Lonchura striata: one gene and its partner. The protein of the gene in region 1 interacts with the protein of each later gene in a pairwise test. Links are inferred from orthologs where the notes say so. Each region holds a gene or a part of one and is shown on either strand. Other genes may lie near its edges. The genes, in order: PIAS4 and SATB1.

What was found.
Region 2: the proteins of PIAS4 (region 1) and SATB1 interact in a two-hybrid assay, tested with the Homo sapiens proteins (2 studies listed by BioGRID and IntAct). The link is inferred for Lonchura striata from reciprocal best matches to the Homo sapiens genes PIAS4 and SATB1.

The regions. Positions count from the first base shown.
Region 1 is NC_134630.1:6,825,178-6,841,378, forward strand, and holds the start of PIAS4 (E3 SUMO-protein ligase PIAS4), read right to left. Parts: upstream 6,830-16,201; 5' UTR 6,768-6,829; coding exon 6,741-6,767; intron 4,077-6,740; coding exon 3,650-4,076; intron 154-3,649; coding exon 69-153; intron 1-68. Other genes in the region: EEF2 (elongation factor 2), read left to right, coding at 9,521-9,523, 10,135-10,349, 11,074-11,255, 11,338-11,549, 12,225-12,403, 12,682-12,787, 13,056-13,169, 13,314-13,452 and 4 more.
Region 2 is NC_134603.1:120,685,332-120,701,084, reverse strand, and holds the start of SATB1 (DNA-binding protein SATB1), read right to left. Parts: upstream 8,291-15,753; 5' UTR 8,184-8,290; intron 1-8,183. UniProt on the Homo sapiens protein: Crucial silencing factor contributing to the initiation of X inactivation mediated by Xist RNA that occurs during embryogenesis and in lymphoma.

The DNA of each region.
Region 1 (16,201 bases):
GAACACGGAGGAATTATGGAATTATGCAGCTGCATTTTCCTCAGCTGTTAATACCCAGTGAGGAGTACCTGGAATTTCTGATCAGCTCCACTTGTCTCGGTGTTAATGCAAAAATGCACGGACTTTCCTGAAGCTTCTCATTATTCTGTGGAACTGAGGAGGGAAGAAAAAAGTGTCCATCAAACTGAGGACAGCAGCTCTGAGCACGAGGTGATTGTTATGCTCTGTTTACCTCCAGGTCTTGTTTTTTCCCACACCCCAGAATTGCAGTTTTCACCTGTTTTGGTAATTCTGCTTTGATTAAAGCTTTGCTCACTGTTCAGTACAACCAACACAAGCTTTGGATTTGATTTTTCTCTTTTTTTAAAAATTATTTTTCCTCCCCTCAAATAATTCAAGAGCCATCAGCTCACCACATCAGTGGTGTCACATCCTCAAGAAGCCCAAGAGGAGACCTGAGCCTGACACAAAAGCCCAAAACCAACCAGACTGAGCAGGCGGGTTCTGGAAAAGAAAGAAAACAACCCCAGCAACAAAAAATATTAGCTCAGATAATAAAAAAGCAACACAAAAAGCAGCTGGAAGAGACAAAACACAACTTCAAACCCCCTGACCTTGAGGGTGGGACAGCAGCTCACCCTCAGAGAGGCTTAAGACAGCCAAGCATTAACTGGGGCCTTTTGCACACTGATAATTTTAAGATCAAGTGCATTTAATGTGGGGAAAAATGAAGCTTGAGACGTGGGAAACTTTTGTTGCGACCTGTACTTCAACCAAACACGTTTTATTTTCAGTTTTGTGTCTCTAAGCAAAGTTCAGACCCCGAGCTGCTAAAAGTCACGGGAGGAACACAGAGAGGAAGTGCTAAAACAGCTTTTTAAAAATTATTTACAATAGCAAGAATTGGGTGTTTTGCTTTGCCTGACTTCCACTGCATGGTTATTCAAAGCCAACAGGATTTCAGAAGGAGGAAAGTGCACTTTCCTATGAAAAAGAGGAGATGAAGGAAGGATAAAACCTCAGCAGCTCTTGAAAGACCTGGTGACAACTTGAGTCACACCAGGTGCTTCCCCTTTGGTCCCTTTTTTGCTTTAAAAATGCAAATGGAACTTACAAAAATAAAATTTAGAAGTAAGAATTAAGATATCTCTATGGAACTTTTTGTTTAGTTCTAGTTTCCTCCCAAATATCTCCTGACTAAAACAACCAGCAGAAAATAAAACATTTCATGAGGTATTTTTAGTAAGTGAAGATTGAGAAGAACAATAACAAAAAGTAACTTTAACGTTTCTGATTAAGAAACTGCCAATAAACTGAGTCCTGCTGATTGTTCAGCCACACAAAAGACACAGCAAACCTGATTAGGAAAAGTGAGACGCTGCTCGTGGTTTATTTTGCATTTCTATCAGCTCACTCTTCCTTTAGACAAAAATTAAATTGCTGCTGGAATAGAAACCCAAAATCTGGGAGGTGCAGCCTGGTCGGGTGTGAGACCTGAACATCTGCTGGTGGCCAGCTCCTCCTGGCTCCACAGAAAACTCTGCCAGCAGCAGGGAAATCAGCCAGAAGCCCTGGCTGGCCCCGGGGAGGTGTCACCTCCCAGGGCAGAGGCTGCCCTGGCTCTGAGCTGATGCAGGGGACATTTAATGGCACCTTGGAACAAAATCTGGTAATCCCAGCGAGCGTATCCAGCCCCTGCTGTCTCTGGATGCTTCCACCTCTTGGAAATTTGTTTTCCTCCAAAATTCCCATATTGGAATTGCTGACTAACACACGTTTAACACTGAACAAACCATTCCTCACACTGTTGTAACGTTTGAGCTTGACTCTGGCACCGCTCAGCTGTTTTGTCACAGCAGTTATGCCTTCAAATGAAGAAGAAACTATATAGAATGTGACTAATTAGACCTTTATCTTTTTGCTTCTGCACAATCAAATCTTTATCTATTTTTCCACTCCAAGCCACAACAAATATCTTTTCAGCAAAGGCAAACCAGCTCAAGTTGTAGAATCATTTGGCAGAGAATTCTGACATTGCCACATGAATTTATGAGACGCTCAGCAGAACTCAACTTCTCTGGACACACAGAATTTGCTACCAGAACATTCTATTTAACATCAGTGAACAACATTCCTTGTTTCTCAAAACGAAAACAAAGAAAAATCAGTCTCCACACCCAGGGAAAAAGCTCTTCTTCCAGTTTTACTAGTTACCCATCAAAACACACAGCACTACACACAAATAACTGTGATAAGCACCAAAAAAATGTCAAAAATATAGTTTGAGGGTCAAAAATACATCCTCTTTTATCCATAGAATGCTTCAGGTCAGGGATTTTTAGTGCTGAAAACCAGCAGTAGTGTAGAATATGGCCCCATAATCCACAGGAACCAAACAAGGTGGGCTTCCAAGTTACATCCCAAAGTGACCACCACGTTCCAGGTCTGAGGAAAACCACAGGAGCACAGGATTTGGAGTGGGAAGGACCTGAAGGATCATCCCATTCCATCCCACAACTTCCACTGTCCCAGGGTGCTCCAACCTGGCCTTGGGCACTTCCAGGACAGGCACAGCTTCTCCCTCCCTGTGCCAGGGCCTCCTCACCCTCACAGGGAAGAACTGCTCCAATATCCCATCTACATCTCTCCTCTTTTAGTTTGAAGCCATTCCCTCTTTCCCAGCACTCTCCTTTTCTGTAAAAAGCTGCTCTCCCTCTTTTGTCAGCCACTTTTAAGCACTGGCAAGCCCAGAGAGAAATATTCCTCTGTAAATTCTGAGCATGGCGGGAGAGAGAGGGGTGGGGAAGAGAGAGAGGGAGAGAGGGTAAAGAGAGAGAGGGAGGGAAAAGAGAGAGAGAGGGAGATGGGAAAAAAAGAGAGGGGGAAAGAGAGAAGGGGGAAGGGGGGGGAAGAGTGGGGGGAAGAGAGAGAGAGGGGAAAGATAGAAAGAGAAGAAGGGGAGAGAGAGAGAGCTGAAGGAGATGGTGGGGGAAAAAGAGAGGGAGGAAAGGGAGAGGGAGGAAAGGGAGAGGGAGAGGGAGGAGAGGGAGGAAAGGGAGAGGGAGGAAAGGGAGAGGGAGAGAGAGGAAAGGGAGAGAGAGGAAAGGGAGAGAGAGGGAGGAAAGAGAGAGAGAGGGAGGAAAGAGAGAGAGAGGGAGGAAAGAGAGAGGGAGGGAGGAAAGAGAGAGGGAGGAAAGGGAGAGGGAGAGGGAGGAGAGGGAGGAAAGGGAGAGGGAGGAAAGGGAGAGGGAGAGAGAGGAAAGGGAGAGAGAGGGAGGAAAGAGAGAGAGGGAGGAAAGGGAGAGAGAGGGAGGAAAGGGAGAGAGAGGGAGGAAAGGGAGAGAGAGAGGGAGGAAAGGGAGAGAGAGAGGGAGGAAAGGGAGAGAGAGAGGGAGGAAAGGGAGAGAGGGAGGGAGGAAAGGGAGAGAGGGAGGGAGGAAAGGGAGAGAGAGGTGAAGGAGACAGCGGGTAGAAGAAAGAGAGAGGGAGGAAAAGAAAAAGAGAGGGAGAGGGGGAAGGGGGGGGTGGGTCTCACCACCCTATCCATCAGCCTCTCCCACCCCACAACTTTAGAAATCCCCTTTACAACCACAACTTATTTCCCAACACAAACACCCCCCGCCCCACCCCACCCCACCCCGAACCTCACCTAACTCTGTGGGCTTCAGCAGCTCGTCCAGCGTGGTGTAAAAGGGCAACTTGACCAAGCGAACCTCAGGCTTGGCCACTTTGGGGGGCAACCTGCCCAGTCCGTTCAGGTATTTGCCATAGAGGGCAGGGTAGTCGATGCTGGCGGCGGGCAGGGGCCGGGGCACGGCGCCGCCGCGCTCGTAGGACGAGTGCAGGGCCAGCGCCTCGGCGCGGTGCGGCGCCGGCGGCGGCGCCACCTCCGAGCCCTTCTTGTTGTAGCGAGTCTCGTAGAGCTCCTTGATCTTCTTGAACACCTCGGGGCTGCAGTCGAACTGGACCAGCTGCAAAGCTCGGGTCACTAGCTCGTGTTTTAGTCCGCTTTTACTCCTGCCAACAAAACCCAGCAACATCTGAAGATCTGAGACTCGGAAACTCATCACCATGTTCTGGGGGATAAAAAATTAAAAGATGTTCTCATAGTTATAAAAGGCAAAGGTTTAGTTGTCACTTTATAGCTACAAGGCAAGATATTCAAAATTTTCCCCTCAAAGAAAGACCCCAAACCTGTCCAAACCCGCTGCTGTCAACCGAATTTTGGCTCTCAGTTCTTGTTTGAGCAATGCAAACGCAGAGATCACCCACTGAAATATCACCTGAAGGACAAAACCACCAGCACAGTCATCAAATGACTCAAAAATCACTCGGACAGATGCTAAACATCCTCGAGACAGCCCAGCTGGAAGCAGGAGCGACCTCAAAGCTCTAAAGCAAGAGGCCTCACTTGTGAAAGAGCTCATGAGCTCCTTCAGCAGCCTGAGGCATCCCGAATTCCCAGAGAAACACGGAAAGCTTCATCCCAAATGGTGTCAGTGCAAGGCACAGGAAGGAAAGCAAAATGAGTTAGGCGAGGCTGAGGTGAACTGGGGCCACCGATTCTGGATTTCTGGATGGGAAAACCCCTCCAGAATCCTCCCTACATGCAGAGGATCTGTAAAAACCCACATATTTTAGAGCATGCAAGGACATTCCGATTATTGAAGGGAGCAGAGTGTTCCCAGGAGAGCAATGCCAAGCACTTCCCTGCGATCCCAGCCAGGAGCTGCCTTGGTGCAGTTATCAGTTTCAGTGCCTGATAAGCAGCAAAACCCAGCTCAGCCTTCCAAAATTCCCTCTCTGGGGCAAGTCTGGCCTGTAACTGTCAGCAGAGTCAAAGGCCACAAGGCAACTTCCCATCAGAAACCAGGAATTCTCCCCATTAAACCCACAGCTCCAGGCTGGCATTTCAGCTCCCTAAACACCAAACAGCCTTGGAATTGCAAAACAACAGCTTATAAAGTACACAGCTGAGAAAATTCAAGTTGCTCTGCAAATTAACCTGGTAGATATTCACTCCGCAGCCTTCCTGGTTTGTGGGGAATATGGGAATTCAAGAAGAAACTCCACCAAAAAAATCCAGCAGATGTTCCCCAGCCTCTACCCCACTCTTGAATTAATAATTAATAAAAAAAGCATAAAAGATAATCTAACAATCTTATCATTTCCTGGAATAAACCAGCTACAGATTTTTTTTTTTTTTAATTAAGAAAGCTACAACTGTTTCCAGAAACATTTCACAGCCACTTTTGGATGTGTGGGAATTAAATGAGAGAGAAAATGCCATTTGATTTTCTCCTTTTCCCTTACATATGTCATTTAATCAGAAAACCCAAAAGCTGTTATGTCACTGTCTGTAGCTAGAACTTCTGGGAGTCGTGATGAGTCCCAAAATATCCCAGATGAAGGGAAAAAAAGACTGATGACTAAAGAGGAGAGAAAAGATGTTTAATTGCCAGAAAGTGAGAATTTCAGAGCCCTGGATTCATGGTGCTGCTCCACCAGACACCACCTGTGAAATCCTGGAGAAATCTACTTTGTGCCTCAGTTTTCTTCAACTAAAAAAAAAAAAGAATCAGGATCATTAAGGTTGGAAAAGACCTCCAAGATCATCAAGGCTGATGAAATCCCACCAGGATCATTAAAGTGTGCTAGGAAATGGAGAGAGTCTTCTTGTCCCTGAGGGATTTGAGGCTAAAAGGTGCATTTGGAAAGATAAATTCATCAAGACACAGCAGCAGGAGGTACCAGGGCATCCCAGGAGCACAGGAATTCCTCCTGGAGCACCTCACCAGGAGTCTTGGCCTGGAAAGCGGAGCCGGAGCGCAGAGTTTCCATTTTGAAGGGATGAAGGCCCGGCAGTGCGATGAGATTTGAGCAGCGACACAACAACAAACCCCAGACAAAGCAAACCCAGAGAGCTCCGAGAGCTGCCCCGCGGCAGCAGGGAGAGCACATGGATCGCCGGGATTCCCGACGCTCCCGGCCGCTGCTGCTCGCGGGAACGCCGGTGCGGGACGGCTCAGAGCCCGCAGAACCCTCTGCGGCCACCGCGATGCCGGGAGCGCCTTCCCCGCTCTGCAATTGCAGAGCCCCCCCAAAAAAAAGCCGCTCCCGGTGGGATTGCTGCGGCCAGCCAGCCCCATCCCTGCCGAGGGGCTGCTCCTGCGGGCGGGGAGCGCTTCCTCGGGAACACCGCCCGGGAACGCGGCCGGGGCTCCCCAACCGCACTGGGCACCGGCCGCTCTCCCGGTCCCGCGGTGCCGCCATCCCGAGGGCAGCGGGAGAAGCTCCCGCTGCTCTGCAGGGCACGAACCGCACAGCTGCGAGCGCACCCGCGCTTCCCCCATCCCGGAGGGGCGCGGGGCCGCCGCTGCCCCCGGCAGTGCCCGTCCCAGCGGACAGCTCCGCACCGAGCCGCTCCACCCCCGGAGCGCCACCGGCACCAGCGAGCCTTCCCCGCGGGAATTCGGGGGGAAAGCCACGGCGGGGGCAGCCCCGAGGAGCGCGGGCAGCGCCGCGGCCCGCTTCGGCCCGGTTCGGCGCCGGGAGGTCCGGCGGGGGCTGCGGCCCTGAGGCCGGGGCGGGGCAGTGTCTGAGGTAAAAAAGGCGAAGGGGAGGCCCCGGAGCGCCGCCCCCGCGGTTCGCAGCACCGCCCCCACGCCGTGTGCCCGCGCCGGGAGCCGCCCGGTGGCGGCCGGGCCCCGCGGGCGGGGCGGCGGCGCCGCTTCCCTCACCTTCGCCTCCACCAGCTCCGCCGCCATCTTGGGCCTGCAGCGTCCGCCGCGCCGGCCGCCGCCGGGTCACGTGACGGCCTCGCGCCGGGCGGGGCGGAGGGAGGGGGCGGGGCCGCGAGCGCCGCCCAATCGCCGCGCGCGCCCCCCCGGCCACGCCCCCCTCGCGAGCCACGCCCCGCCAGGCCACGCCTCCCCCGCGAGAGTCTTAAAGGGGCCGCGCACCGCAAACCGGGGCAGCACCGCGGGGTGGCGGGGGTGGGGGGGAACGGCGGCGGGACCGGGGATGGAGGCGGTGCCGCGGGCACTGCGGGACGGGGAAGGGGTGGGCAGGCGGTGGGTGCTGCCCCCAGGATGGCACCAGGTGGGTGCCCCGGGGCAGGGCAGCGCCCGGTGGGCTCGGCCCGAGGCTCCGCCGGCGGCCCCGGTGAGGAGGGAAGTGCTGGGGGGATGTAGAGGGGAAGGGATGGGGATGGGTCCCGGTTCCTTCTCTGGTCAGTGTTTGTGGCCCCTTCTGCGACAGAACCCATTGCTTATTAAAAATACCTTCCATATAACAATAATAATAGTAATAATGATAATGATAATAATAAATACATTGTGGTTTGCAGCTTTTCCCCGATAGGCAGCTCCCATCTCTGCTCTGGGAGCAGGGACACGAGCCAGGGAACAGCTGGAGCTGTGCCGGGGATTTGGGATGGAGCTCAGGGAAAGGTTCTGCCTCTGAGGGTGGTGGGCACTGCCCAGGCTCCCCAGGGAACGGGCACATTCCCAACCCTGCCGGAGCTCCAGGAGCCTTTGGAAAACACTCTGGGACAGGGTGTTGGGGTGTCTGTGCAGGGCCAGGAGTTGGACTGGATGATTTCAGGGTAACCTCAGTGTTTGAGGTGAAACGCTGCGCTGGGAAAGGTTTTCCAGCACTTTCCTCTCCTTGCCATCAACCCCACATACTAATTAATCAAAAAGGCAATTAACAATTTCTCAGGAAGAGCAGGATGCTCATCAGGTTTCCAACTTTTCCCTTCTAGGCTGGCAAAAATCAGGGTTGGTGCTAAAAATCCCCCAGATTGCTATGGAAACCCCAGAGGCCGATAATTCATCCTGTCAATCCATCCCGGGTGCAGCCCCGTGGCCATCCTGCCTGGGAATGTGCTGGGAATTTGGGAGCTGCCAGTGAGAGAAGTGGGATTGTCCAGCCTGGAGAAGAGAAGTTTTTGGGCGAGCTCATTGCAGCCTTCAGGACCTGAAGGGACCCCACAAGGAATATGGGAAGAGAGACTTTGGACAAGGGGTGGAAGGACAGGAATACAAGGAACGGCTTCCGCTGCCAGAGGGCAGGGATGGATGGGATTTTGGGATGGAATTCCTGCCTGGGAGGGTGGGCAGGGGCTGGGATGGAATTCCCAGAGCAGCCGTGGCTGGCAGTGCCCAGGGCCAGGCTGGAGCAGCCCGGGATGGTGGGAGGTGTCCCTGCCATGGCGCTGGATGTTCCTCCGCGTCCCTTCCGACCCGAGCCGTTCATTCCAACGTTTCTGTCGGCTCTGAGGCGATGCGGGCGCACAGGGACGGCTGGAGCCCGAGCTCTGCGGCCCCGTGCCACCGGACCCGGCGGGCGGCTCCGGCCGGGGCCGCTCCCGGTGCGGATCCCGGTGCCACTCCCGGTGCGGATCCTTGTCCGCTCCCGGTGCGGATCCTTGTCCGCTCCCGGTGCGGATCGCGGGGCCGCTCCCGGTGCCACTCCCGGTGCGGATCCGGGGCCGCTCCCGGTGCGGATCCCGGGGCCGCTCCCGGTGCCACTCCCGGTGCGGATCCCGGTGCCGCTCCCGGTGCGGATCCCGGTGCCGCTCCCGGTGCCGCTCCCGGTGCGGATCCTTGTCCGCTCCCGGTGCGGATCCTTGTCCGCTCCCGGTGCGGATCGCGGGGCCGCTCCCGGTGCCACTCCCGGTGCGGATCCGGGGCCGCTCCCGGTGCGGATCCCGGTGCCGCTCCCGGTGCGGATCCCGGGGCCGCTCCCGGTGCGGATCCCGGTGCCGCTCCCGGTGCGGATCCGGGGCCGCTCCCCGTGCGGATCCGGAGCCGTTCCCGGTGCGGATCCCGGGGCCGCTCCCGGTGCGGATCCCGGGGCCGCTCCCGGTGCGGATCCCGGTGCCGCTCCCGGTGCGGATCCCGGTGCGGCCGCGCTCCTCCCTGCCCGCAGGGGGCGCTGCGGCACCGGCCCGCCCGGAGCATGCGCACTGCGAGCCCCCTGCGGGAGCGGGGCGAGGCGGACCCACAGGTGTCCCGGACCCACCGGGATCCCGGACCGCTGCCTGCCACCGGGCTCGGCCCTACCGCCTTCTCCTAGCGGCTGAGCCCCCGTGCTCGCCTGCCGCTCGGTGATACCGCTCCGAGGGCGGCCTCACTGCTCCGAGCCGGTTCCTACACCGGCAGCGGGAGGGGCGGACTGTCCCCCCCCGTTGCAGCCCGGGCGGGGCGGGGCTGCCGCTGCCGGTCGCTGTTCCCCCGGTGTCGCCTCGCTGCAGTCCCGGTGCAGCCCCGGTGACCCCCACGTGGTGCCGGCGAGGCGGGACATCCTCCCGGCCATAGAGCGCGCGGGATAGAGCGGCGCGGCCGCGCACGCGCTCGGCGCCGGCCCCGCCCCTCGGCGGCGCCGCCCTATAAGAGGGCGCCGGCTGACGTCAGCGCTCTCTTCCGCCCGCTCTGCGCTCGCCAGCGAGACAGGGCCGAGCCGCCGCCATTGCCGTGACCCCCCCGCCCCGCAGCATCCGCCGCCATCCGCCACCATGGTGAGCCCCCGCCGCCCGCCGCCGCTGCCGGCGGGATTAGCGACCATCGCGCTCCCCGTATCGCCGGGGATGGCAGTTCCGCGAGCGCCGCCGGTCACACGGCGGCGGCTGCGGCCTGTGCTGCCGGCCTGGGCCGCGGCTGCGGGGAGAGGGTGGGGCGGCGGGAGGGGGCCGGTCCGGGCGGCCGTGACACCGGCGGGACCGCCGGGGCCGGTGCCGGGGCCGCCGTTGTGCCGCGGGGCTCGGGAGCGCTGATGTGGCAGCGCCGGGCTCGGGGCGCTGCGGTGCCGGCCGTGCCTTATGTAACGCTGCGGGCCGGGCTGGCACCGGCACCGGGCCGGGCTGGCACCGGGCCGGGCCGGCACCGGGCCGGGCCGGGCTCGCTTCTGGGGGCGCCCTGCGCCCGCTGGCACCGCGGCTGGAGGGCCACCGGGGCAGGGAGGGGTCGGTGCCGCAGCCCCGCTGCGCTGCCCTGGCTGCGGGTTGTGTTGTCACCCGGGCAGAGGTGGTGTCACCGCGGTCGTGGCGGGTGTTTAGGGCAGAGTCGGCTTCCTTGGAACTGCCAAAGCTGTTTTTGTACGCGCTGAGTCCCCCTCCTCCCCTACTTCAAGGTGAACTTCACAGTAGACCAGATACGGGCCATCATGGATAAAAAGGCCAACATCAGGAACATGTCGGTGATCGCCCACGTGGACCACGGCAAGTCCACGCTGACGGATTCCCTGGTGTGCAAGGCTGGGATCATCGCCTCAGCGCGGGCCGGGGAGACCCGGTTCACCGACACCCGCAAGGACGAGCAGGAACGGTGCATCACCATCAAATCCACGTGAGTGCCCTCCCCTCGGACTCCTGCTGCTGCCTGGGCTGAACTCAGGGGGGATTGGACTCCTCCAGGAGGTGCTGTTGGACTTTGGTCTAGTCCAGAAGCTCATGTCATGTTCCTGAGGGTCTTGAATGGTGGAGCAAGTGTTGACTGGCTTCTGCTCAATCATGGAGCAATTGTTTGCTGGGCATTGGGGAAGCAGGAGCTTCACCCTCCCAGTTCAGCACCAGGATTGTTGGATGTCCATGGATGCGGTGTGGAGACTCTTGGGAGCGTCTCTGGGGATGCACCTGGTGGCTGTGCTGCCACAGGGCGTGTGAGGACTCTGAGGGGCCAGAAAAGGGGTGGAGAACACGGTTGGGATTAGTAGGAAAAGCCTAAATCCACAATCTGGGAATGGAGCCCTTTATGCGTGCTGGAGAACTGTAGGGAGCTGGAGGAGGTTGGGATTCTGGAGGATGTTATGGTTTAGGAAGGACAGGTTGTAGCCTGTGCTTCTGTTATCTCACACACTGACCTCCCTGGAATACGCTCCAGGAAATCCTGGAGCCCAGCATCTAGCTTGGAAAAGATCTCCAAGGACATCAACTCCAACCGGGAGCAGAGCACTGGGTGCCACCTCCAGTGCTGGGGCAGGGATGTTTTGTGGGGCAGAACATCTCTGAGCTTTAGGGAGAAAACGATCCTGAGCACAATCATCATTTTAATAGTTTCTGCTTTCTTTCAGAGCCATTTCTCTGTTTTATGAGCTCTCTGAGAACGACTTGGCCTTCATCAAGCAGAGCAAGGATGGTTCCGGTTTCTTGATCAACCTCATTGACTCCCCTGGGCACGTGGACTTCTCCTCAGAGGTCACTGCAGCTCTGCGAGTCACTGACGGTGCCCTGGTCGTCGTAGACTGTGTCTCTGGTGAGGTTTTCTGCAGCTGGAGAGCGTTTTGGAGAACTTGGAGGTGGGGATAACTCACTGCTAACTCTGGTGTGTTTGGCAGGTGTGTGTGTGCAGACAGAGACTGTGCTGCGTCAGGCCATCGCCGAGAGGATCAAGCCTGTGCTGATGATGAACAAGATGGACCGGGCGCTGCTGGAGCTGCAGCTGGACCCAGAGGAGCTGTACCAGACCTTCCAGCGCATCGTGGAGAACGTCAACGTCATCATCTCCACCTACGGAGAGGGAGAGAGCGGCCCCATGGGCAACATCATGGTGAGGGGAGGCTCTGAGCACTGGGGTTGGATTGAGGCGCTTCGAGAGGGAGCAGATCCCTCCTGAGTGAGAATTCCCTGTCCCAGGTGGAGGACAGGGGGATCTTGAGGGTGCCTGAACTCCCAGAGCCTGGGATGGCTTGGGGCTCTTGCTGGCTCCCCTCCCAAATTTCCAGTTCAAGGCTTGAGCAAATAAAGGCTGGGATTGTTGCCCAGAGCAGCTGTGGCTGCCTGGAAGTGTCCAAGGCCAGGCTGGACGGGGCTTGGAGCAGCCTGGGATCACGAAAGGTGTCCCTGCCCATGGCAGGGTGGAATGGGATGGTCTTTAATGTTACCTTCCCACCTGCTCTGCTGCTGGGTTTCTGGGAAGGGAGCAGGGCTGTGGGTGTCGGGTTCTGAGGAGAAGCTGGAAGTGTCCATGCCTTCCTGATGCTCCTGGGAAGGATGGGAATCCTACCTGCACGTAAACCTGAGCACCCACCTGGTGGGAGTGGAGGAAAATCAACCCACTTCTGTGGTGCAAAGCTAAAATGGTGCCTGTCCCAGACCTCGGAGGTGGTCACTGGGACAGAATTCCTTCAGAATCTCAGTGTCCTGAAGGTCCACTTTGTACTGGGCTGTTTTTGGGGTGGGTTGAGCGCTGCTCCCCTGACCCAGCTCTGCTGTTCCCTCTCAGATTGACCCGGTGCTCGGGACCGTGGGCTTTGGCTCGGGCCTGCACGGCTGGGCCTTCACCCTGAAGCAGTTTGCTGAGATGTACGTGGCAAAGTTTGCTGCCAAGGGAGATGCCCAGCTCAGCCCGGCCGAGCGTGCCAAGAAAGTTGAGGACATGATGAAGAAGCTGTGGGGAGACAGGTGAGGAGGGAATGGTGGTGATTGGAATTCCAGATCAGCTCCTCATAGCTGCAGCCTGGCGCGGCAGAGGGTGGGTAAGGAGGATGGGGAGGGCGTGGTTGTGCCTAATTTACCAGGAGGTAATTACATTTGGTAAGTGCTGGAAAGCTGGATGAGGGGGAAAGCAGGAAATGGCTCTTCCTCAGCAGCCCTTGGCTCTGCCCTGAGCAGGCAGAACACGCTGTGTGTCTGTAGCTGACCTGAGCAAGGATGTTTGTCCAATTTCCTTCTCTCTGTAGATACTTTGACCCTGCTACTGGCAAGTTCAGCAAATCTGCCACCAGCCCTGATGGAAAGAAACTGCCCAGGACCTTCTGTCAGCTCATCCTTGACCCCATCTTCAAGGTGAGTTCCTCAGGGTTCCTCCTTGGCCGGCGCCTCCTGCTCTGCGCTTCTGTTCCGTGCGTGATGATGGAAAATTTCTTCACTTTGACCTGACGTGTTTGATTGAAGAAATTCAGCTGTCTGACACACCTGGCTGCTCTGGGGCACAGGGGCTGTGTCTCCTGGGGGAGCTGGGTGCTGAGGAGGAGCAGGAATTCTCTGCAGGGGCGGTGGTGCAGTTGCTCCAGACGGGGTCACGGCGGCGCTCCAAGGGCTGCTCTTGTCGCAGGTTTTCGATGCAATCATGAACTTCAAGAAAGAAGAGGCGGCTAAACTGATTGAGAAACTGGACATCAAGCTGGACAGTGAGGACAAGGACAAGGAGGGCAAACCCCTGCTGAAGGTGAGGCTGGTCTGAGTCCTCTGGGGAGCAGCTGAGCAGTGCTGCTCCAGCTGTGTCAACATCAACTTGCTTGGGAGGTGGGGAAGGACGGGGAGGTGAACCCCTGTTGTGAACACTCTGACTGGGTCCTGCTGCTCTGCCCAGGCTGTGATGAGGCGGTGGCTGCCAGCTGGAGATGCCCTGCTGCAGATGATCACCATCCACCTGCCTTCCCCCGTCACAGCCCAGAAGTATCGCTGCGAGCTGCTCTACGAGGGCCCCCCTGACGATGAGGCTGCCATAGGTAGGATGAAGGATGAGCTGCTCTGCTGCCCGGCCTCGGCTCCAGCATGCCTGTAACCAGTTTGTTCTCCACGTGCACAGCTCAGGAGTGTCTGGAATTGAGTCTGTAGCTTTTCCAGCATGGATCAAACAGTTTTAGTGGCTCACAGCTCTGTTCTGGAGCACTCAGCTGGCTGAGTAATCTCAGAGTAGCCAGAGGGTCCATCTGAACCTCTGTTAAAAACATTTGTTGGTGATAAGATCTTCCATGGAATCTCAGAATAGATTGGTTTGGAAGAGATCTTGAAGGTCAGCCCCATCTCCTGACCAGGCAGGGACATCTTCCACTGCCCCAGGCTTCTCCAAGCCCCATCCAACCTGGCCTTGGGCCCTGCCAGGGATCCAGGAGCTGCCACAGCTGCTCTGGGCACCCTGTGTGTTCTCCCAGGGAACAATCCCTTCCCAATATCCCATCCATCCCTGCCCTCTGGCAGTGGGAGCCATTCTCCGTTTTCTCTAGCCCAGACAGAAGCCCTTGGGCTGGGACAGTGGGTGCAGGTCTTGAGTTGGGGTTTTGGGGTGGGTGCCAGATACATCGATACCTCTGTGCTAAGCTGGTCTGTCCCCCTCCCAGGCATTAAGAACTGTGACCCCAAAGGCCCCCTGATGATGTACATCTCCAAAATGGTGCCAACCTCTGACAAGGGACGTTTCTACGCTTTTGGCCGTGTCTTCTCTGGTCTCGTCTCTACTGGCTTGAAAGTCAGAATCATGGGACCAAACTACACACCTGGCAAGAAGGAGGATCTGTACCTGAAGCCAATTCAAAGGTGTGTCCTGGCTGGGCTGTCGAGGGATTCTGATGCTGTCTCAGGTCTCTTCTCATGTCTGAGGCTTGTCAAGGTTCTTGGCTGTGGGCTGAGTGGGGTCTCCTCCCCTTCCCAGCCTCACTAATCCACCTTTCCCTTTAGGACCATTCTCATGATGGGCCGCTACGTGGAGCCCATCGAGGACGTGCCTTGCGGGAACATCGTGGGGCTGGTCGGCGTGGACCAGTTCCTTGTGAAGACTGGAACCATCACCACCTTCGAGCACGCCCACAACATGAGGGTCATGAAGTTCAGCGTCAGCCCCGTGGTGCGCGTGGCCGTGGAGGCCAAGAACCCGGCCGACCTGCCCAAGCTGGTGGAGGGGCTGAAGCGCCTGGCCAAGTCTGACCCCATGGTGCAGGTGAGTGGCCAGAATGGATCCAGGGGTGCTGCTTCCATCCTGGGGAAGCCTTGAGTTGAGTGTTGGTCCCTGCCTTGCACCCTGGCTTGGTGCTGCGACACCCCCAGATGAGTGGGGAGAACATCCAGAAGTAGCTGCCTCAGGATCCTCCAGTGCTGCCTCAGCTGTGCTCGCCCCACACCATGGCTCCTCGGGCATTTGGGCAGCAAAAGCATTTTGGGTCACTTAAATGTTGTTTTTTTTTTTTCAAACACAAAAAACACAGAGGGGATGAGTGGGGAGAACATGTAGAAGTAGCTGCCTTGGGATCCTCCAGCGCTACCTTGGCCATGCCCGCCCCACACCGTGGCTCCTCCTCGGGCATTTGGGCAGCAAAAGTGTTTTGGGTCACTTAAGTGGTTTTTTTTTTTTTTTTCAAACAAAAAACACAGAGGGGATGAGTGGGGGGAACATGTAGAAGTAGCTCTTTGGGTCAAGCACTAAAAACACAGAAAGTTGCTTGTGCATGTGGCTCGTTCTGAAGCTTCACCTGCTGTTCCTGGTGTTCCCAGTGCATCATTGAGGAGTCTGGGGAGCACATCATCGCTGGCGCTGGGGAGCTGCACCTGGAGATCTGCCTGAAGGACCTGGAGGAGGACCACGCCTGCATCCCCATTAAGGTAGAGAGGAGGCTGCGTGCTGGCTGAGCTCGTGGTGGGGGTTTGGCCGCTTTGGTGCCTCACGCCGCGCTCTGTCCCCGCAGAAATCCGACCCCGTGGTGTCCTACCGCGAGACGGTCAGCGAGGAGTCCAGCGTGATGTGCCTTTCCAAGTCCCCCAACAAACACAACCGGCTGTACATGAAGGCCCGGCCCTTCCCCGAGGGCCTGGCCGAGGACATCGACAAGGGCGAGGTGTCGGCCCGGCAGGAGCTGAAGCAGCGGGCGCGGTACCTGGCCGAGAAGTACGAGTGGGACGTCACCGAGGCCAGGAAGATCTGGTGCTTCGGGCCCGACGGCACCGGCCCCAACATCCTCACCGACATCACCAAGGGGGTGCAGTACCTCAACGAGATCAAGGACAGCGTGGTGGCCGGCTTCCAGTGGGCCACCAAGGAGGTGAGGGACGGCGGCTTGGGCTGGGTGGCATCCGTGGTTCCTCACATCTGTGCTTTTGTTATGCTTATCGTGGAGCAAAATGGAACATCTTAGCAGTTCAGGGAATAACGGCAGGAGGGAAAGTGGTCTGAGGGCCTCGACAGGGATTATTTTCAGGATTAGACAGGAGAGGACTGTAGGGTAAGATGACAGACTGGGAACAGCAAGAGGAGGAATTCATTTTCCTGTGTACCACCTAGTTTCAGTCTGAAGGTGATTCCAAGCCAACAACTTCTGTGACATTACCAAGACAAAAAAATCCCCATTTCCCTTGGCCAAATACTTGGGTTTCAGCACCATAAACGTGTGACAGCTGTTGAGGCTTGAACCTCAGAGCTGATCACGAGGCTGCCGCAGTGGTGGCACAGGGGTTGCGAGCTGGTGCTCCACAGAACCCTTAGGTTGG
Region 2 (15,753 bases), on another chromosome or scaffold:
ATCCTTTTATTTCAATTTTAATCATTTCTGAATTTTAATACCCTGCTCCTTTTGTAATTCTCCTGGCATTCCCTATATGCATCCATCCCAGCCAAAACACCAGTGTAAATTAAATGGCACACAACCACACCACTGATGTAGTTCTCCCCGTAGAACCAATTGAGTGACCAAAAAGCAGAGAAGGTATGACTACTTTGTATCCCCACAGACTACTAGCCAATTAAGTGACTTAATGTTCTTCAATTCCTTTAATTTTGAAAAGAAGGGCAGTGGTTAGGTAACCCAGCAATATAGAGCCATTAAAAAAAAATAAAGCAAGCCAGTAGTAATACAATAATCAGTGACCATCAGGGCCTGGAAAAATGAGTTTGCTCTCACTGGCACTAAGGAGCATCACATGATTATTTAATTACAGCTCTAATTTTTGTCTCGTGGATGGCAACATATCAACAATTAATAGGGCAAATAGAGGAGACTGCATTTTTAAAGAGACAGAACCTATATGAAATAGTGCTTGGTAATGCAATTTATCAGACAGTATAATGCCTCTTACGGCATATCTGTCATCCTGCCAAACATATAAAAAAATTCTACTGGTTCAATTCTCCTGCATAGTATCCATAAAATTCTTCTGGAATGCTTAGAAAACAATAACTACACCTATGAGTATCCTAAATGTCATTTTAAGCAGCAGTGCAGAAGTCGGTTACTTGTAGGGCTCGCAGCCCAAATAAAGTAGTCGAATCACAAGTTTCAAATGCAAACACACTATAGCATTTTCTTGAAAAGACTATAGCAAAAGTCATCAGGAATGGCAAAGATGATTATAGTATACAGTGATTCAAGTGAAGAAAAACGAAACAGAAAGTCAATAAAATACAGTCAATGGGACAGAGATTGATTCTGACCGATTGACTTTATTCTGAGATTTTCTTACAAAGCATACTGAAACTAGGGCCTCAAAACCTATATCATATTGTTCCTGCACAGGACTGCTAGATAAGAAATGAAAAACAAGACCTAAAAGAAGATGTATGATGCATATTATCGAGTGAAAAGCTCTACTTTCAGTTTAAAACAGGTTTCCCTTGTGCCTCATCCTGCAATGATGGCAGTGCGGAACCTAGGAACTGTGGGAAGTTCACTACGTCGAGAAGCACTTTTCGCAGTTAGGGGAATCTGGAAATATATCAAAAGAAAAACTAATTTTATGCACCTTTTTGCAACTGTACTTACTTTTCCATAGCAATGAGTGGACCAAGCTACAAACTCCATAAATTTATATTATCTAGTGTATGTTTCAGACAATAGTCAATATCTAACATAGCAAAAGCAAGCTCCAAATTTCCTCTCAGCAATACACTGTACCAGTGAAAAACCTACCATACTATGCTTAGACGGTTTTTTAATCCTACTTCTCAATATAAAAATTAGACATGCTTTTTCATTTGATATTCTAAAATCTACCCTTTGAACAAACAAAGAAATGCTGGGTTTGGGCCCTTGCACAGAAAAAAAAACCCACTGCTAAACAGCAGTTCAAGTATTATTGCAAAAAGTGTGACTAGAGAAGTAGTACTATTACAATAAATGCTCCATTCCTCCCCAAAATTGTGTCAAATTGTTTTCATTGAAGTCATGAACATTCTGGATTAGAGATCTTAATCTATAATCTTAAAAAGAAAGCTGGCAAGCAAGAGCTTGTATGTAAAAGTAAATATCATTCTTTTTATGCACTGGTTACTATACAGATAACATGTCTCACAAAGACTGTAATTAAATGTCTAGTGCAGAAGTAACACTAAAAAGCATACAGTATTATTACATTACAATGAATCCTTAGAAGCTAAAATTGTCATTTTTAAGTTTTAAGATGCCTTTAATTATTCTTGAGACTTCTTATATTTATCAAGAAAGCCCACCTATGATGAAAAGCACTAATTACTTAAAATCTTTCTAATACTCCTCTCCACAAAAATATTAATTTAATGTTTGATTATAAACATTTTAAAACTCAGTCTGGAATTCCTCTCCACTTCAGTTTTTGCCTTTGGTCCTTCTGAGAGTCTGCATGCATGCATGCTCTCTCCCACTCTCTTTCACCTCCTCTCTTCTCTGTCTTTTATTTAATGTAATAGAAGTAGGAATATAGGGTGTGTATGATGTTTAGAACTTTCCTCCTTTTCATTGAAAATGTTTTTAATTACCTGGCTATTATGACAGACATATATTCTAAGTGCAGTTGCTGAAAAGGAAATACCTTTCTCATACCTTTGCATGTGGGTTTGAGTTCAGAGCAGCAATTCCTGGCACTTCTGTTGGAAATGTTTTCCACTCTAGGACTGATTTACAAATGTAAAGAATTACTTACTCCTTCACTGTTCTATGAAACACATATACTACTAATTTTATAGCTGGGTAAATAAACCAGGAGCATATTAAGGCCGCATTTATAAAAGGATAATGTGCTGTAGCTTCCTTTTCCTTCATATGAAGTTATGTGCTGAGCATTTTCAAAATCAGGGTTACAACATCAAAGATGGCAAATATGGCATGGACAGTTATTAACCAAAAATTACACATTTTTTTCAGGGCTGAAACCAGAACCAGGAGTAAAGACACCAGAAAAGATTATGAGACAGTCCTCCAAACACAGGTGGTCTGAATGCATCACCACTTCGTCTAGCGAGCAGCAAGTGTAAAGACCCACAAATGATTGCTGCTGGCCAAATAAATCCTGTCAGAGCAGGATCCCGGGAAGACAAGATGCACTTGAGGTTTAAAGCACCTCCCTCGTCTCCTCAGGTCACATCATGTCATAATGCGCCACGGGAAAGAGATAGAGCAGATAGTCCCTGGAAGTTATGTAAGGCCAGCGCAGCTGACAGACATGGCCCATCCTGATGTTTTGCACCCAGGTGCAGCTGGGGTGACAGAGGCCAATTCACAGGCCAGCAGGCTCCTCTCGCCTCTCTAACCTGCAGTTCACAGCAGCAAAGCACGAGGTAGTGAGAGATAACTTCTGTGAGCCTACAGCTGTGCAGAGGTGCCACCAGCAATGCTTTACCACAGCTCAGAGACAGCAGTTAGCCTGCGCTCCGGTGAAAGCAAGTCTTACAGTCCCCATCCCAGCAAACACAAATGCACAGTGTTTCACAGGGGAATCAATCTCCAGAGAGATTGCTGTGCATTGGTGTTCTAAATAAATAGCTGCAAGGTGGACCTTGGTGCAAATACTAAGTGTTAGTGTGTCCTTGAGCCCATCCGAATGCCTAACGCTGATCCTCTACAGGAACAGCAGAGGATCAAGCTGTGTAGTGACACACCAGTGTGCATGAGAACAAAGTCAGGCTCAGCAAGTTTAAAAGGAAATATTTAGAATTCAGACAGTGCCTGAGGTATGTTACTACACTCTACTACTGTACTCTACTATTACTATGCCATTCCTAGTACACTGCACCAGATAAAACAGATTAAGAGTAGGTTACAATTGATACAGGGCACAAGGACCAGTTCAGAACATATGTACAAGTTCAGAGCTGGCAAGTCTCCTTAAAATTAATCTCTGTCAAGACTTAAACCTACTGAGAGCAATCCTGTGCAGAAACCATGAGAAAGTTGGCTTTTGCAAAGCAATAGAATGGCTAGCTATTATGTAATGAGGTGCTGGTGATAACTGTGGTAAACTTAGATGCCACAGGATGGCAAATGTTCAAAACCACCAGCATTTTTGAAGGGAACATCATAATATATCCACTTGGAAGTAACAGTTACAAGTTGTGGTCAGGGCTGTTGACAGTTCATGATACCACAGACAATGGAACTGACCAACTAGCCAACTTAGTGTTAGGTATAATACTTTTGAGAATCTGAGGGAGGAATTAACCTCTCAGGTAAAAGTTATTAATGGAGTCCTTCAACAGAGAATTTAGAGAAGCTTTTTGCAAACTGTGGGTTATTCTGACTGCAGTTATCTTCAGTTCAAATGCCAGATATTTGGACTCACCGTTCCAAGATTAAAAGTAACATCAACAGGGCTTTCTGAGACTGACTTTATAAAGTTGCAAAATTTCCGTATAGCAGGCAGTAAGAACTGTAAGTTACTCTTTAACCGTCAAACTGTTTTACTTCTTTCTTTTTTCCTTTTTTTTTTTAGACTCAGTAGCAACTTTGTGACAACTAAAGTTTAAAAAATGCACTTGATTGCATAGTGACAGATTTGCAGAACATTTTTCATCACACACACATATGTGCTTTCAGTTATTAATAAAATGCTTCTGCCCTTAATCTGCCATTGCCTGAATATACAATTACAGTGTCTTGGATAGACAAATACTGTTAAGGAATTCTGTTTTCCCTGTTTGAGATGCAATTCAATTACATCAAGTAAAACTGAATACTATGTCTTTAAAACTGGCTTCGGCTTGCCACAGAAAGGAATACTGAATCACTTTTCTATTAAGTTCCTCTTAGAGTGGAATGATAACAAAACTTTCTTCTCTTCCTCACCCCCACCTTCCTTTTTTGCTTGTTTTAAACAAGGAAGAGCCAGCTGCCCTGGGTAACACCACAGGTAGATATTAAAATGGAGACAGCCATTATTTAGTGGCGACAGGAATATAAATACAGGCACTAACCTATAAACTGGTGTTTACTTCAGGAAAGTAAGTCATATTTTTTCCTCTGATTGCCGTGCTGTCAGTTTAATGCAGCGTAAATAAACAGTAGGTGCATGATAGCTTTAAGTAGAAAGTGTTCATTCCACAAGAGGAGCAGATTACTGAAGCCTGATGCCTATAACGGCAAAAACAGAACTTCCATTTTACCTGGCTAAGAGACTTGTGGCTTTTCTATTAAATTAATTTGTCAGAATTCTATGAAAAATATTATGCACTCAAAGAACTTTACAAAAAACATTCATTTTTGCAGCCCTCAACTTGAACCATTTGAAAAAACAAAAGCCAATCATTCCGCTGTAATTTCATCATCCCATTGCTCTAAATGAAAGCTTTATATAATCAACCTAATATAACAGAAAATAAAATGATATATGGAATTGCCTATACTTTGAGTTATTTTGTTCTTATAAATATATTCCCTGACTGAAAGTAAAAAAATTCCCCTTTGGAAAAAGCAATGATGTCTGAGAAGATTGTATATACACTCTACATCTATTAACATAAATTATAAGAAAGTAAAATGTTCCAGATGTGTTTAAACTGTTGTAGAAGGAAAGTTTGTGGCTTCACTGGATATATATTAAATATATCTAGAGAGAGCAATGGCAGTTATATACAAGAAAGCAATAAAATGCTTCACTAGAGTCTATGTTAAAATACCATAGTTCCTAGAAATATGACTAAAACATTTCAGAAGTCATATTTCCTCCAGTTTTAATTCAGAAATCTACTTTAATGTATTTTTCTATATATTATGAACTATTTTATTAATAAAGTAATCTTCTTAATTTTCTTTTTATTTCAAATACAGCTGGAAACCTACGGAATTACTTCAAATTCCTCTGACAATATTTAGACTAAAAAAATAGGTGACATTAAAAAGGTAACAGTACTTTGAAAAACCAAGTAGTTGATACGTTTAAAAGATTTGGTGAGTTTTTTGTTGGTCTTTTTTTTTTAACAAGATCACCAGACTTCATCTGATTATCTTCTAAATGGCAGTTTCACACATGTAAAACCCTCTCTATCCCAAACCTGTAATGTGTGAGAAACATTTTCTTTAGAGAAACCTCTCTAAAGAGGTTTTCGTGCTGCAGGGGTGGATGTGCCCACGTCCCCAGCAGGGCTGAACGTGGTGGCTGGTGCCTGTGGGATGCTGGCAGGGCTGCAGGCAGGGCTGATGCTGCCTTGGGAAGCACAGCCACAGAGGGCAGGTGCTCATCCTCTCACCCGCTGGGCCTACGCTGCAAACCAAAGAGGTGCCCTGCTCGTGTACAAGCTGGGGCTGGCATGGCAGGCTCTCTCTGCTCCTGATACTGCCAAAGCACCGTGTCCCATCAGTGAGTTACAGAGCGACTCTGCTTCACACTGCTTTCTCGGGAGCACAGCAGCAGGTTAGGATTCACACGAGTCGCTAAAATAGCATGAGAGGGGAAACTGCGAGAGTTACTTTGCTATTTAAAGTATCAAGAACAAAGAATATAAAAAGGAAATGGCCAGTTTTTCAAAATTCATGCACAAAAAGCATTTCATTTAAGTATCTTTTTGTTCCAGTAAACTATTTTGCATACAAAGGACTTATTTATTACATATTTGAACTTGTGGGAAAAAGGGAAGGAATGCACTGATTCCTGAAATAACTCTACAGCCTTTTTGGAGGCTTTGCTTTTCTGTGCTCTTGTTCTACTCTGAACAGTTTTATTGCAGGGACAGAGGAATTCCTTGGAGTCAGTTGTTTCTTTTCCACTAGCTGTACTGAAGAGTGGGCATACATAGCATACTAGCCAAGGATTTTAATTTCTCTTCTATTGCCTTATTATGTGTGTGCGCTATCTGTTCTGACGCATGCTTATATGTGAACACGTTGCATTTTCTGCCTGCTCATTTTTTTACCTACTCTACGTTATTTCACATTTCCTTGCAAAACCATTGCTTCAACTTGAAAAGCAAGGTAATATCCATAACGATCTCAAATAGAAAGTGAATTAGAAAATTAGTGTGTGTATATGTATAAACATATTAAAGAGCATATAGGAGTACGGGACTGGAAAGAGCATTCTCAAATTCTACAAATACTGCTGAAAAGTAATTAGAAGATAGAAATTACAGAGAACATGCTATATTCATGTCTATACACTCTACGCATACAGTTTCGAGTTGTTTTTGAATAGTGCGCCTGATTTGACACATTTCTATCTGGTGATTGTGTTAAATGCTTGATAGTGAAATATCCAAGCATTCCTTGTGCTAACTACAGCTGAAATTTTACACTTATTGTAACCTTTCCTAACAATGTGAGAAAAACAGAGTAAATATATTAAATTTGTTTCATAACAGATGCTTAGGTTGTTAATATTTAAGATGCCTATTCATGCTATTCCTGTCTGCACATTTGTCAAAAATGTAAGCTTGAATGCTAATGTTTGCCAGCAGACTACAGCAGACAAATATATGAATGCGCTGTACCAAAATAATATAAAGTAGAAATAAGGGGCTGCTACTAACTCCCACCCAAGCAGCACGGACCAGAATGAAAGGGCACCTCCAGATCACACGTCTCTGCATCTGAATTTGTGAATTATTTTCACAGAATCGCTGCGCTCACTTGCACGGACTAAAACCAGAGGAGAGCTTTTCTCAGTTTAAACTCATTTCAGCTTAGGAGCTGGTGCAAAGTGTTTCAGAAAACTTAGATTGTAGCGAAGTTTCTCCCGCAGTCAGAAAAAGCTGGAGACTGGCAGAGGGAAACTCCGGGTCGGGCAGGTGCCTGTCAGGAGCGCTCCCCCCGGCAGCCGGCGGAGACGGCGACAAAGGGGCGAGGATTTAGCAAAACCTCGGGTGGCGGGTTCGGAGACGGAGTAGAAAAATCAAAAGTAAATCCTGGAGCACACAGACGAGCTGCTGGCGCTGCTCCCCGCGACAGCGGCAGCCCCGGGTCGTGCCGCGGGCGGGCGGGGGGGACTTGCCACCCGCCGCCACGGGCGCGCCCCCGGCTGGGGCAGCCGCGGCCGCTCGGCCGCCCGCGCAACCCCCGCGCCCTGCGGAAGCGCCACCCCGCGACCCCCCCGCCCCCCGCCCGCGACCCCCGGCCCCGCCGCTTCGCCCCGCGCCGTCGGGGGCGCCGCCGCCCCGCGCCCGCCGCTGCCGGGAGGCGCGCGAAGCTGGGTAAGAACTTTGCCAAACTTCTGGGGGTTTTTCCCTCTGCCCCCACCCCCGCTTCCCCCCGCTCCCCCCCGTGCCAGCGGCGGGTGAGGCGGCAGCGGGCAAGGGAGCGGAGCGGAGCGGGGCCGCCGACCGGCAGCGGCGCGGCGGCAGGTGTGAGCCCGCGCCGGCCGGGAGGCTCCGGCAGCGGCAGCGCCCGGCGCGGCCACCCGCCCCGCGCCTCCCGCCCGCCCGCCCTCCCGGGCCGGCACAGCCGGGTAAATCGCCGCGGCGGCTGCCCCCGGCACGGCTCTGTCCCCCCCGTCCCCGAGGAGAGACGCCGAAGGAGCGGGACCAACTCACTCATGGGAGCGCGGCGGGCGAGGCCGGCGACACCTCCGGCTTCCGAGGCGCCGGCGAAGTTAATTGCACTGAAGTTCAAGTTGTCTTTTCACCCATCAGGAGTGGGCGTTTAAAGGAAGGAGAGCGAGGAGGAGGAGGGGGAGGGGGGAGAGTCTCTCTCGCTCGCTCGCTCTCGCATACACACGCGCGCACACACACACACACACACACATACACAGAGGCACACGCATGCACGCACGCACACACACACACGCACACGCACCCGCCCGCTCGGCTCCGCTCCCGAGCTGCCTCAGCAAGGAGGAGCCCGGACGGAAAACACCAGGGCAGCAAGGTACCGGCGTGGGGCAGCCCTGCCTCTGCCTGCGCGTGTCTGTGCGGGTGTGCCTGCGCGTGTGTGTGTATATGTGTGTGAGCTGTGTGTGTGTGTGTGCCCGCGGTCCCCCCGCCTGCTGCCTCGTACGGCCCCTCCAGGCGGGGAGGTGCGCGCTGCCCCCGGGGAGGGGGCGGCGGTGCCGTCGGGGCAGCGCGGCCGCTGGGGGCCGGTCCGACTGGGGCCGGGGTCTCCGAGCCCTGCGCCGCCCGCTCTGTTCCGCGCCCGCTGCCTCCTGCCTGCGCGGCGGCGGTGGGAGGGGGGGAGAACCGAGCGGCGGCTGGAGCGCAGCGGTGGCGTGTGTCTGTGTGTGTGCGCGGCGGCTCCTTCCCTCCGGCGGCTCCCGGCCCCGGGGGGCGGTGGGGCTGACTTGGTGCAAGTGCCGGGGGATGGTGGTGTGCGTTTACTCGTGCCTGCCGCGTCCCCCTTCTCCCCGGAACTCGGGTCGAAACCCTCCACCGTCCCCGCATTGCCTTCCCCGGCACCGCGCCCCCGCCCCCTTCTTCCCCCTTCTCCATCCTTCCCCCGCTCCTTTATTTCCACAGCTGTCCCCGCGCCCTCTGGCCGCCCCCCGCCGCTACTCGCAGAGCCCCGGCGGCAGCCTCTTTCGGGCAGGCAGCGCTCCGCGGCTACCCGCGATTTGAGGTGGCTGATGGAGAAGCTCCGCTAGCGCGCTGGCGGTCTCCGCGGGCTGGGGATGCCCGGGTGCGGGCAGGCATCCCCCGGAGGCCTCTGCCTGCCGGCAGTCCCGCTGCCCCGTCGGGCCGGGAGCGGGGCCGAGTCCCGCATCACTGTGCTACGCCTGCCTGGTGTTTCACCTGGCACCACGTGCTCTGTAACGCTGTTAGAGAATTGCCTTTATTCATGAAACTTCTCCTAGGGGAAGTACTTTTCTCTCCTTTTTTTGTTTTTAAGACCTTCTTTCCCCTCTTCACTGATGTAGGATTGGAAGTGGAGCTACTGGAGAATGACCACTGAACGCATGTTTCCCTGAAAGCTGAGGCTGTTTCTTATTCCCAAGGAGACTGACAAGAGAGGGGACCCGGATGTCAGCCCAATCTCCGTTTTTTATTTGTCTCAACTTTGAGGCAGATTTTTGTCTTTCAGCTGTGGGAACTGACAGGTACAATTCCCATAGGCACCTTTCCATCAAACAAGACCAAGGCCAAGAAGTTGATTCGTCATTGCTTTTCCTAGTTAGCCAGCAGTATGTCATTCTATTAATTGCTATTAGTAAGTTAACCTTGTAGCTCAGTTATTGAATAATCATTAATCCATGGAGGATACACAAGCCCAAAGGTTAATAATAGGAATAGCAATTAATAATATTGACCTTGCCAGTGGGGAGAGTATTTTTGTCACAGTTATTAAAAGTCACTACTATTTATACTAGGTGCAATGGTGCGAATTTGGACTCAATATGTTGAATACCAAATTACTGCAACAACACCAGAAATTAATTCACCCTTTTATCTCCATGTTAACAGTCCTCTGACTTTTTCTCTATTTAAAACATATCATCCCCTACTTTCTCATTTTAAATAAAAATCCTAGGTCTTTAATAAATTCTAACATTTCCACTAGAAAATAACATCGAGCTCACTTACACAGATAAAAATTTATTTGCCTGCAGCTGATTTGTTGTAGTGCTTTGGATGTCTTCATTTCTCAGAGAGGACTTAGCTTTTTATTATCTTTTGATACCATGGGGTAATAAACAGGAGATCAGTACAAAGGGGACATTCTCTCTTTTATAGGTCCAACTCTCCACTCCCTGGAGTTGCCTCCTTGCAGAGCTACTCTGACTGACTGACTGACTAACCTACATCCTTCTACTGTCAAAGACCCATCTCCTTTATTTGTATCACATTTCTGACTGGCTGGTCAGTAAGCCCTAATAATAATCATGTTTCATGTCTCAGAAATCTAATAATCAAGTTACTCATTGCTACAAATTGCAGCTAAGCTATTTGGGTTAGTCACGTTATCCCCACTTTAAAGGCAGGGAAACTGAAACAGGAAAATTAACGCATTTGCCTGAGGCTACACATGGATTTAAGACCAGATCCAGAACTGTAACTGAATTTAGACCAAGATCCCTTTTAAAGATCCTCAAGTGCACTATTGAAAATCCTTCTTTAAAATAGAAATGTAGCATAAACCTTATTTTTCATCAACTTTGTATATTAGTCAAAACACACACACTTTTTTTTAGGTCACATTTTGTTTTTAACAGGTAAGGTTTATTCAGCTTTTTTTAAAAAAAGTGTGGTAATACTTTTCAGCTACATCAGGCAGTTTACTTTGGAAACAAATATTTAATACCAGACTGTTTGCAGTAATGGGAATAGAATTGCTTGTCATTGGGCTACTGTAAACAATATTAGCTAAATGTTATGGTATTGTTACAAAACAACAAACTATGATGGGAAGTCCAGCATTAGTATAGATAAGGTGCTCTTGCTTACCTAGTGTGCACTGGTTTTCAGCATAATGCTCCTTCAGTGCTTTCAGTATCAAAATACCTAATATGAGTCTAAACACCGAAATACATATGGGACAACCATATACTGTGTTTGAGAGTTACAATTTATGTCATTAAGCAGTGAGTTTTACCAAGTTGTGTCATTCATGTCACTGAAGCAACACATATACTGCCTGCTCTTTAGCTGTGGCATGTCATCAAAGCATGCCTAAAAGCCAGATGTACAATATAACTTTCCTATTACTGACATGTAGATATTTCCTCTTCCTCAATTCCCGCCCTAAATGTTTCCTTGCCCAGCCTTCTACATGCTCAGAAAGGAGCTATAGATGCTATAATGCTTAGAAAGGAACTATAGAAAGTCCTGTTCATCCTGCTCATCTCTGATGTCTGGAATTGTGCAGCTGAAAGCCTATACAGAATAAGTATACATTCTTTTTAAATTATTTTTTTATTTATGCTGACAGCTCCTTTCTGAGCATTTTTAGAGTCCTGATTTGAGGGAAGTGGGTGCAGATCTCATTCAAATAGTCATTCTCCAATACCATTAGCATTACCTGCCAAAAATGAAAGTGGCATATGAATCACAATAAGCCACTCATGAATTTGTGGATTTAGAACCTGCCAAGGAACAGCAGATACACACACGATTTCAAAGACCCATCAGTTTTAGGTACTTCCAGCAGTGCATATTTATCCAAAGACCATCCTATTGATGGCACATCTTATAAGGCCTACAGACATAACTGATTCCAGGGAAGGATAATACTGACTGAAAATATTTCTGTTCCAGTCTTTCTTTTACAAGTGAGGTAGTGAAAGTGACGAATCTGCTAATCATAACCATGTCAGAGGCCCTTCCTGAGGTGTCCCTTTTATTGAAGTGCCACTGTGACATAATGATCTGTTGGTTTTCTGTGAGAAGAGCTTTAAAATCCTCTGGGAAATATCACAGTTGCTTTCCAGTTCCTTTCAGACATGTAAATACCTTTATGTTTAGACATGAGTACAGAGGGGTGGAAAGTGAAGTTCAGCAAGGACTAGAGTGGGGTTAAAAGAATCCACATGGATCCAGTGACCAAATACATATATATGTGAGCTTTTTTCTGTATCTGATATTACCTGGGGCTTGAAATGAAATGTTCATTTCCAAGAAGGAAACGCTGTAGGAACGTGTGCCTACTTGAAAGGTATGTTGACCCATCGTTGACAGAGAAGGCCATCTTCTGCCTAAATTATACATGAGCAACAGAACTCTCAGTAGTGCTCAGATACTTGTGTCGTTCTCAAGTAATATGTACATTATCAAGTATGGTTTATTTCCAGCTTGTAGTGTGTGGATAATGCTATATCAGTGAAAACCACCACATGCCACCTATCATTCGTTGTAATTGCTTGCTTTCATCATGGTTTGCTTAAGCTGAGCACATCAGAAACTGAAAATAACATTTGGGTATTTTTTCCTTCTTAACATAGAAAAGTTCCAGCCTACATTTTGAAAACTATTTATATGTTATTATTTGTGAAACATAGCAAAGAAACCTGCGTATTGGCATGGAGTACACATGGATGTCTCAGCAGCTTGATGAAATGTTAAGACTTGGTTTGAACTATGTTCCAACCAGTTCTAAATGTTATCTGTTGTAGATGAAAATGGTAATCAACAGATACAACCATGCTGAAGTAGCCTTCTGTGAATATCTTAAATGCAAGTGGCCATTACTGTCTGTGCCACAACCTTTTTGATGTTTCATTTTGCTAGTGGTTCAGTGGAAGATAGTCAGATGTCTTTTTCTGAATATATCTTTAGTGCGTTTCTGCAGTCGGTTGGTTATTCTGTTCTTTGTTGGTCAGACACCAATCTCTTGAGCTCAGGCCTATGTGACCTTGCTACTTGAATGTCTATTCTGAAAACTTCTTTACTGAAGTTGTCATCATGTCAATAGTAGCATATTCATTTTTCTGTCTTCAAACTAGTTTAAGTTCTCTCCAATCATACAGTGAAGGTCCATGTTTCCAGGCCCTTATGCTACACAGTACCTCAGTCCATTTGGCCACTCTCCAAGATGGTAACTGCTTTCTGCTCCACATCTCTGTTACAGGAGGTTTTTGGATTACCTAAAAAACTAAAGTGCATCCTCATAAAACTTAGCTTTTTGGAAAAGTAGATCAAGTTTTTGCAGATGCATCAGTGATGTCAGACTCACTTCTGTTTTGCCTGGCTGCTGTCTCCTTCCATCTGAAAGTCTAAAAGTATAACTTTTAAAGGTTTGAAGGAGATATATCAATATTTGTGTGAACCACTTTTACTGCACGTTGTCTCTTCTTTTCTACTTCCACTTGTCTTGGCTGCTTTTAAAAATTCTGTTGCCTGTATTGAGACACTGCCAGCTTAAACCAGTGAAGAGAAACCAGGTGACTGTCTACTTTTATGAATATAGGTTGTGTATAATAAATTCTGTTTTTACATCTATGCAAATTAAATCATATGATTCTGACTACATGCATTTTTTATCAAATATGGCATATATTTCACAAATTATATTTAACTTGTAGTCATGTTGCAATTTTGAATACCTAACTAGGAATTACAAGGTGTGCCACTAGATCTTAGTAAATAAGTGTACAAAACCAGAATAAATAGGATAAATTTAGCTTTTTTTTTCTTGTATTCTTGTTAAACCTAGTGAAAAAGCTTTTTCTGCTATAGGTGATAATATAAGCACCTCATTACTGTGCTGTTTAGAGACAAAAGTACACTTGGTTTCTAGAAATGTAAAGATTCTGTAAGGGCCTAAACAGAATGTGCCCAGAATAAGGAAGTTTCAGAGAAACAAGTCTTTGGTCTGGAGTTTACAGTATCTAGTTAATGAGGCCTTTTATTAATGTTTCTTGTCACAGAGTAGCAGACATCAGTCACAATGTCAAAATAAACATTTTATTTCTGCAAAGTTACATTTTCACCTCAGGAATATTGTGAAGTGAAAACGGGATTTAGCATAATTCTTCCTGTGGACAGACAGGGCAGTTTAAGTGTGAAAACCTAAGCCTTGCAATATGATTCCCAACCATAGGTGCACCAGACTTTGAATAATCAGTCTGTCAGATAAGCTGTGGCAGGCATTATTCTGTGAAGGTAACCACTCAATGCTTTCAATGTTGATGATCTTCAGTAACTGCTGATGTTTTTTTCCTAAATAAAAAGATATTTTGGGAGCACAAAGACGTCTCTGTCAATACTTGTGTTTTGGTCAATAAAAGGATGTGGATGGTTGAAATGTGGGAATCGGGTAGAATTCAAACATGTGAACAAACAGCTGTAATTCACAAAACCTTTTCTAAGAAGTTGCCTAAACCTCAAAGCACTAGATTTGCCTTAGAGTTAGTTGCTTTTCCACTTGGGACTCCTAAGTGGCCATTCAGGACTGTTCATGCCCACCCAGGTCCTCTAGACCTGCAGTATTCTTCTGCTTGAGTGTCTTGGTCAGCTTGGCCTCCTGGTTACTCGTGGAGTGTGCTCAAACTCCCTAACATGACTGCATTCTTGACAAAATGCAGAAGGGTCACTGTGGTAATAATGGGAACTTAATCCCAGGACTATTTTTATTTTTACTCTTATTTTTGTTTTCGTTTTTAATTTTTTTAGGGGGATATTGTATGTATTTCACAACAATTTAACATAGTGAAGACAAAAATAATCCCGAGAAAACTCAGTGTGTGCCCCAGCCCTGGGAATAAACTAAACATAAGATTATGATCTAAGGAATCTTGAATTCGTTTGTGCTCAAGGGCACTGTTTCAGCAAAAGGGTCGAGACTGCCTCTTCTAAAATAACCATCAGCCTGGTGGCCAGAGTCCTCCCTGGGGTGAGAGGAGTTGTAAATTGGGGCCTTTCAGGGCAGCAGAGATGAATCCCATGATTGCATTAGTGCTCTAATCACAGAGTTGTTATATAGAGGGAGATGGGAAGCCAGCTTCTCCTCCAGCTATGTTTTAATAAAACATAAGTTTTGAAGGAAAGATCACAGGGACCTATTTTCATAAAAAGAATGAGGGTGTAGATACTGAGTGGATGGAGGCATCTCTCAGACAGCCCTGGGTAGAGCCCTGTCTTTAGAGGTAACCCTCAGGTAGAGCCTTTGCTTTAGAAGGAGGCAGGATTGTAGATTTGGGACAAACCATTTTTCCCCTGGTTAACTCCAGTTGTCTTATGTTGAGGTCAAGACATGCTGTGCTGGCTGTTTTCCAGGCCACCCAGGTGTCTCTTCTGCTGCGCTGCAGGAAAGTAATGCTTTCAAAACATGATTCTGGATACCTGACAAGGAACCATGGGACAAAAAAATTCAGAGTTGGAGCACCATAATGCTTTATAGGATTAGCCACAAACTATATAAATCAGTATCTAATTATTAATAACAGTTTATTTCATAATAACAGCAATACTTGGTATCTGCTGGGAACTGTTATCTTGGTAAAGTTTATGGTCCATTTTTATTTTGCATCACAAAGGACAGCACAGGAAACTGTTGGATTGCATATTACTTATAATGAAAATTCTCTCTGTAAGTGTTTCCCATTAGAAGCTCTAATGGCTAACATGGCTAGACACTCATATTTATTTTAAGTCCTGTGGGATGCAAGGTTAAAATTATATTTTTATAGAATTTATCTAAATTAAAATAGAAATACATACTAAAATGTTGGCCTTTTCT